Linked DNA regions of Xenopus tropicalis. The protein of the gene in region 2 interacts with the protein of the main gene of each other region in a pairwise test. Links are inferred from orthologs where the notes say so. Each region holds a gene or a part of one and is shown on either strand. Other genes may lie near its edges.

Evidence for each region.
Region 1: the proteins of coil (region 2) and pdlim5 interact in binary tests that used the Homo sapiens proteins (3 or more experiments, as listed by UniProt). The two-hybrid records come from large-scale screens. The link is inferred for Xenopus tropicalis from reciprocal best matches to the Homo sapiens genes COIL and PDLIM5.

Annotation. Positions count from the first base shown.
Region 1 is NC_030677.2:76,504,606-76,508,829, forward strand, and holds the start of pdlim5 (PDZ and LIM domain protein 5), read right to left. Parts: upstream 2,914-4,224; 5' UTR 2,891-2,913; coding exon 2,795-2,890; intron 1-2,794. UniProt on the Homo sapiens protein: May play an important role in the heart development by scaffolding PKC to the Z-disk region. May play a role in the regulation of cardiomyocyte expansion. Isoforms lacking the LIM domains may negatively modulate the scaffolding activity of isoform 1.
Region 2 is NC_030686.2:52,249,674-52,253,325, reverse strand, and holds part of coil (coilin), read right to left. Parts: intron 645-3,652; coding exon 1-644. UniProt on the Homo sapiens protein: Component of nuclear coiled bodies, also known as Cajal bodies or CBs, which are involved in the modification and assembly of nucleoplasmic snRNPs.

The DNA of each region.
Region 1 (4,224 bases), on a different chromosome or scaffold from region 2:
ATAAATGAGGGGTGCCTAACTTTTAAGCACCCACTAGTAATTTAACAAAAACAGGCTTTGCATTTAACTACATAAAAAAAATGTCTACAGTGTGGTCTAATGTGAATTATTAAAGCTATAATTTAACATGCCATAGCAGCAAGCCCTTTGAATGTTTAAAGCAGCCAAAACAAATCTAATACGATTTATTCTGGCTTGGAGAGGTTTCCTTTTTGAATCCTGTTATTGTATCATTTAGATAATTTAGATGATTTAATCTGGTGACTAGAGAGTATAGATGACATTAAAAGATCAGCTTTCACGTCACTTGCAGGTCTGTTTTTATCTTCTACTATTGCCCCCAAGTCCATAGTTATTAATAAATACTATTCAGTCGATCCAAACATCAAACCCTCAAAGTCATGAGACTGTTAAAGGATGAAATACAGTTCATAGCTTTTCAGACTAATTATTACAAAGGTTACATTTTTTTGTGCCTTCTGCCACTGGTTTCTATTCTGAACCAGCTTTAGTTTATCATCCTTCCTGTTACTGTGCAGGTTCCCACTGATTTCCTCTCCTTCCTACACCCACTGTGTCTGCACATGAAAAATCCAGCCCTTAGCCCTCATGGGAGCCAGATTATGACAAACTAAACAAGCCTATGAGACTACACGAATAAGAAAACATTTCTCAGATGCATTATTATACAGCCTGTTAACCCATTAAGCCTCAGGATCCATCCTGAAAATAATGAAATATGCTATCCAGTGTGCCACTGGAAATCTAAAAGGGGCAAGCAGCAGTTACCAGATGAGGAAATATAGTACTAAAACAGTAGAGAAACAGAAAATAAAAGTAATGGAGAAGGTGAGCCCAATCAGTTAGAAACTTAACTAGGTGGTAACAGCCTTAATGGCCCAGAGGGTTGATGGTAGGATCCCCAAATCGCTGCATGTGTCAAGTATACAACTTGCTTAGGGAGGGAATTGTTCACTAACTTCTTCCAAAAACCTAAAGAGGGGAGCTACTGACTTCCACTGGAATGGTATTGCTTTTTGATTTAATTTTTTATCATAGAGAATTACATTTCCAGTCTATTTAATCTAGTAATCTTACTCTATCAAATGGCTACCTGTATTCATCCTAATGCAAGGATTTTTTTTTATGGGTGAACTGATGTTTTTAACAGAGGAAACTACAGAATATATAATAATGTATAGTATAGCAGTCAGAGAAAGGAAAATACTCAAAGGCAGCATAATACAGAAAAATTATACAGAAGCCGAAAGTTCCAGTAAAGCCTCTTTCAAAGTAAATGCTAACAATACAATGCCATTCAACTAGGAATTTTTACTCACTGATAATAAAACTGGAATAGTGGCTATACAAGTTAACAGTAACCATAGCTACACTACATCTTTAGCACTTTTTTCCTGCAATTTTTAGGGCATGAGTTGCATAACTATATAACAACACAAGTTGAGTGACACACAAAATGTCGACATAAACTCTATCAACATTCATTTTTTTTAAGAAGTTACATAAATTCATTTTCATAAAGGTACTTAACAAAACTCATATTACATTTTTTGTATAACAAACCGAGGCTGCCAAATATCATCTTATTGCCCAGAACAAGTCCTACAGCTCAAATCTAATCCAATGCAATTGCCCATAATCAGCATTTGCTCCTCTCATCAGCACAGCAGCACTTCATCTTAACTGAAGATACCATGTATCTTGTACAGCAATTGACAGAGAGTACAGTGATAGAGCAAAGATTTTGTTCTGTCTGCTATCTCTTTTGCTGGGAATCTAAGGCAGCAGGTCAGACACAGCTCATAATGGAAATGTTGTTGACAAGACTATGCCAGGCTGTATTTTTAAAATTAACGTAGGAATCCATACTGCTATAAAGTGAAATTTTCAGCAAAGATATGATCATTTTTGAATAATTTAGGATTTTCAGCATGACCTCCAGCTAAATTCACTTATACTCAACCATAAGAACATAGTTCCTTTATGTATATAAATACCAAGAGGTAGGATGTCTGTATCTGTGACTAATTAAACCATGCAAGAAGTGTACAAAAAATTGGCCCAGATTATACATTTCTTGAAAATAAATGGATCATAGGGGCCCACATACAGTGGTGTTGGCTGAAAACTGCATACTCTGTTTCAACAAATTTTACTAAAACTACCTTTGATCAAACAAAGTAATTTAAATATACACTTTGTAAATCAGGGCCGTACTAATAGAAAAAAAGAGAAAAACTGTACATGTGCAAGCCAATTCATTATGCAGACTCCAAAAATGTTTGGCAGCTGTAAGCGCCTCTTTGTTTTTCAGATCAATAAAGAGCATTCTCTATTGTCCTCAGAACTGTAAATTATTATGTAAAGAACAAAGGTGCAGAGTTGCAACCACAGTATGACAGATAGGATGAAAATTACCTATTTTCTACAGAAACGCGAGATAGTAGCAAATATTGATGCTTGGCACATACATGAAGCATTTCATTTCTTGATGATCTGAGTTCTAAATTCAGCCATGATTTTTGTAGTTTACACAAAATAAATTGTTAAATGATCTACTGTATTATTTTTTTTTAATTTATAACAATTACATTTATAAACATATTTAGAACATTTGAAAATATATCTACTTATTTGCAGGGGTCAAATGGCAACTCTATTAATACCTAATACACTTATTTAACAGACAGGCACAAGGCTCTGTCTTTAAAAGCAAAGTAATGTCTGACGTACACTGCTATCAGAAAAAGAACTGGCATAGATAAATGCTTACCCGGGAGATCGTTAGAGGCATGTTGAAGTCTTTGCCTCCTTGCAGCCTGAAACCCCAGGGAGCTGGGCCAACCAGAGACACACTGTAGTTACTCATTCTGGCTGAGTGTTAAGCTTCAAGCTGAATCTGTAAATAAATTGATAGGAGAAACAAAATGACTCAAAGTTGAGTTACAGATAAACCTACTATATATCATATATACATTTTAAATATACAGATATGGGACATGTTTCCAGAATGCTCAGGAACTGAGGTTTTTCCAGAGAAGGGGTCTACCAGAAAAATTATTAACATTAATTACTTAAACCCAATAGGATTGTTTTTTTGTCTCTAATAAGGATTAATTATACAATTATACCTTGTAATAATACAAGGTATTGTTTTATTATTAGAGAAGAAAATGAAATCATTTCTTGAAATTATAATTATTTGCTTATAATTGAGTCTATGGAAGATGGTCTTCCTGTATTTTGTAACATTCTGGATAATAGATTTCCATTTTCCAGTATTTATATTACAAACTTTGGACAAGCTCAAAATAATGACACAGCAAACAACTAAAACATTTGAAGTGCAGTAATTGACTATGGTACTGTTCTTCTAAATATCTAAAAAGCTCTGTTACAAATGACTGCTGTAATATTGCAACTGAAAGTGTACAAAGAGTGATGTACAGTTCGCCAAAAAATAACACAAGAACACAAGTTTACTGGGGACACGGCCTTAAATGTCCAGATTTTTGCTGAAACTCTTGAGATATGTGTATTGTACATTCCACAATGGAGGTTACACTTGGATTGGTAAAGTCGACCACAAGACATTGCTTCTGGAGTAGACTGCACTATGTTGCCAGAGCTTTTTTTTTTTTTGGGGGGGGGGGCAGTATACATATAAACAATGTTAATATGCTGCAGATTGCAATGGTAGAAGGGTGGGTTCATATTGCTTCAGATTACCATCACAACATCACTAGGAAGGGCTTTCCACAGTTCATACCTTTGCACTTTTCAACACTGAACCTCATTTTCCATTTTGCTGCCCAGTTTTCCAATTTTGTCAAATGGATCTGCAAAGTGGCAATGTATGTTAGGCACGCCCATTTCATTTTTGACACGCATGCATGCCTTCTTTCGTCCGGCCCCGCGCGTGCAATCATTTTGGTGCAAAATTCAAATATTTCAAGCGCTTACTGCCCTGCATTCATTCATAGGTCTACTTCCTGAAAGTTCCTGCGTGCGTTCATTGTACTGTTTTGCTGTGTTCTGACACCTGCCTGTTCCTGACTATTCCTGTATTGCTGCCTGAACCGACCTTTGCCTGTTTTGACTATTCTTCTGGATCCATATTGTGTTGCCAAAAGCTCATGAACTGTACTTTTCTATAATTACCGCCTGCCCCAAGTAGGAGTTCATTTTCGCACAGACTAATGC
Region 2 (3,652 bases):
TGTCGATGCCCGGGACCCCCAAGGCAGTGTCTGTATCAGAACTAGAGATGGGGGGTTCTGGCTTCTTGCCCTTCCCAGGAGAGATTCCATTCACAGCCCTGGGGGGCACAGACACGGATCCCCTGGCACTGGCTTGGCGCTGCCCTTTTGCAGATGAGGGGGGTTTGTGTTGGGCAGGGGGGGGGGGCTGATCACTGCAGGAGGTGGTGCCAGAGGAGTCATTGCTGGGGGTGTGTCTCTGTGTATTTATAGTTTGTTGGGGGCGCTTCCTGCTACGTTTGGCAGGGGGGGTTTCTACTAAAGCTTTCGGTTTTTTCTTTGCTTTTTTCCCTCTGCGCATTTTCTTCTCGCCCTCCAGGAGTTCCTCTGAGCCACTGGTACTTCCCTTGTCTCTGGGCCCAGGCTCGGGGCCCGCTGGGGTTATTGGGGTACAGCTGCGCCTCGCTTTCTTCTCTCGTATCCCAGGCTCGGGGCCCGCTGGGGTTATTGGGGTACAGCTGCGCCTCGCTTTCTTTGCTTTGCGCCCAGAAGCACATTCATCCTCAGATTTCTGCCAGTGTCGTTTCCTCACTTGGTTCTGAGCTCCATCTGTACAGGGTTCTGCCTCCCGGCTCCCATCTGTGTCGGCTCCATCCCACTTTACTCTAACGGGCAGGGGGGGCAAAGAGACAATTAATGTAAAGCACCTTATATGTATACTCAGCCATTCCCCCCCTCCCCCCCCAATGCTGGATATACTCAGCCATTCCCCCCCCCCCAATGCTGGATATACTCAGCCATTCCCCCCCCCCCCAATGATGGATATACTCAGCCATTCCCTCCCAATGATGGATATACTCAGCCATTCCCTCCCAATGATGGATATACTCAGCCATTCCCCCCCCCCCCCCCCAATGATGGATATACTCAGCCATTCCCCCCCCCCCCCCAATGATGGATATACTCAGCCATTCCCCCCCCCCAATGATGGATATACTCAGCCATTCCCCCCCCCCAATGATGGATATACTCAGCCATTCCCCCCCCCAATGATGGATATACTCAGCCATTCCCCCCCCAATGATGGATATACTCAGCCATTCCCCCCCCCCCCCCCCCCAATGATGGATATACTCAGCCATTCCCCCCCCCCCAATGATGGATATACTCAGCCATTCCCCCCCCCCCCAATGATGGATATACTCAGCCATTCCCCCCCCCCCCAATGATGGATATACTCAGCCATTCCCCCCCCCCCCCCCAATGATGGATATACTCAGCCATTTACCCCCCCCCCCCAATGAAGGATATACTCAGCCATTTACCCCCCCCCCCCCAATGATGGATATACTCAGCCATTCCCCCCCCCCCCCCCAATGATGGATATACTCAGCCATTCCCCCCCCCCCCCCCCCCCCAATGATGGATATACTCAGCCATTCCCCCCAATGATGGATATACTCAGCCATTCCCCCCCCAATGATGGATATACTCAGCCATTCCCCTCCCCCCCCAATGATGGATATACTCAGCCATTCCCCTCCCCCCCCCAATGATGGATATACTCAGCCATTCCCCTCCCCCCCCCAATGATGGATATACTCAGCCATTCCCCCCCCCCCCCCCCCAATGATGGATATACTCAGCCATTCCCCCCCCCCCCCCCCCCCCCCAATGATGGATATACTCAGCCATTTACCCCCCCCAATGATGGATATACTCAGCCATTCCCCCCCCCCCCCAATGATGGATATACTCAGCCATTCCCCCCCCCCCCAATGATGGATATACTCAGCCATTCCCCCCCCCCCCCAATGATGGATATACTCAGTCATTCCCCCCCCCCCCCAATGATGGATATACTCAGCCATTCCCCCCCCCCCCCCCCAATGATGGATATACTCAGCCATTCCCCCCCCCCCCAATGATGGATATACTCAGCCATTCCCCCCCCCCCAATGATGGATATACTCAGCCATTTACCCCCCCCCCAATGAAGGATATACTCAGCCATTTACCCCCCCCCCCCCAATGATGGATATACTCAGCCATTCCCCCCCCCCCCCCATTGATGGATATACTCAGCCATTCCCCCCCCCCCCCCCCAATGATGGATATACTCAGCCATTCCCCCCCCCCCCCCAATGATGGATATACTCAGCCATTCCCCCCCCCCCCAATGATGGATATACTCAGCCATTCCCCCCCCCCAATGATGGATATACTCAGCCATTCCCCCCCCCCCCCCAATGATGGATATACTCAGCCATTCCCCCCCCCAATGATGGATATACTCAGCCATTCCCCCCCCCCCCCCCAATGATGGATATACTCAGCCATTCCCCCCCAATGATGGATATACTCAGCCATTCCCCCCCCCCCCCCCCCAATGATGGATATACTCAGCCATTCCCCCCCCCCCAATGATGGATATACTCAGCCATTCCCCCCCCCCCCCAATGATGGATATACTCAGCCATTCCCCCCCCCCCCAATGATGGATATACTCAGCCATTCCCCCCCCCCAATGATGGATATACTCAGCCATTCCCCTCCCCCAATGATGGATATACTCAGCCATTCCCCCCCCCCAATGATGGATATACTCAGCCATTTACCCCCCCCCCCAATGATGGATATACTCAGCCATTCCCCCCCCCCCAATGATGGATATACTCAGCCATTCCCCCCCCAATGATGGATATACTCAGCCATTCCCCCCCCAATGATGGATATACTCAGCCATTCCCCTCCCCCCCCCCAATGATGGATATACTCAGCCATTCCCCCCCCCCCCAATGATGGATATACTCAGCCATTCCCCCCCCCCCCCCAATGATGGATATACTCAGCCATTTACCCCCCCCCCCCAATGATGGATATACTCAGCCATTCCCCCCCCCCCCAATGATGGATATACTCAGCCATTCCCCCCCCCCCCCCCAATGATGGATATACTCAGCCATTTACCCCCCCCCCCAATGATGGATATACTCAGCCATTCCCCCCCCCCCCAATGATGGATATACTCAGCCATTCCCCCCCAATGATGGATATACTCAGCCATTCCCCCCCAATGATGGATATACTCAGCCATTCCCCCCCCCAATGATGGATATACTCAGCCATTCCCCCCCAATGATGGATATACTCAGCCATTCCCCTCCCCCCCCCAATGATGGATATACTCAGCCATTCCCCCCCCCCAATGATGGATATACTCAGCCATTCCCCCCCAATGATGGATATACTCAGCCATTCCCCCCCCCCCCCCCCAATGATGGATATACTCAGCCATTCCCCCCCCCCCCCCCAATGATGGATATACTCAGCCATTCCCCCCCAATGATGGATATACTCAGCCATTCCCCCCCAATGATGGATATACTCAGCCATTCCCCCCCCAATGATGGATATACTCAGCCATTCCCCTCCCCCCCCCCAATGATGGATATACTCAGCCATTCCCCCCCCCCCCCCCCCCAATGATGGATATACTCAGCCATTCCCCCCCCCAATGATGGAAATACTCAGCCATTCCCCTCCCCCCCCCAATGATGGATATACTCAGCCATTCCCCTCCCCCCCCCAATGATGGATATACTCAGCCATTCCCCTCCCCCCCCCAATGATGGGATATACTCAGCCATTCCCCCCCCCCCCCCCCCCCCAA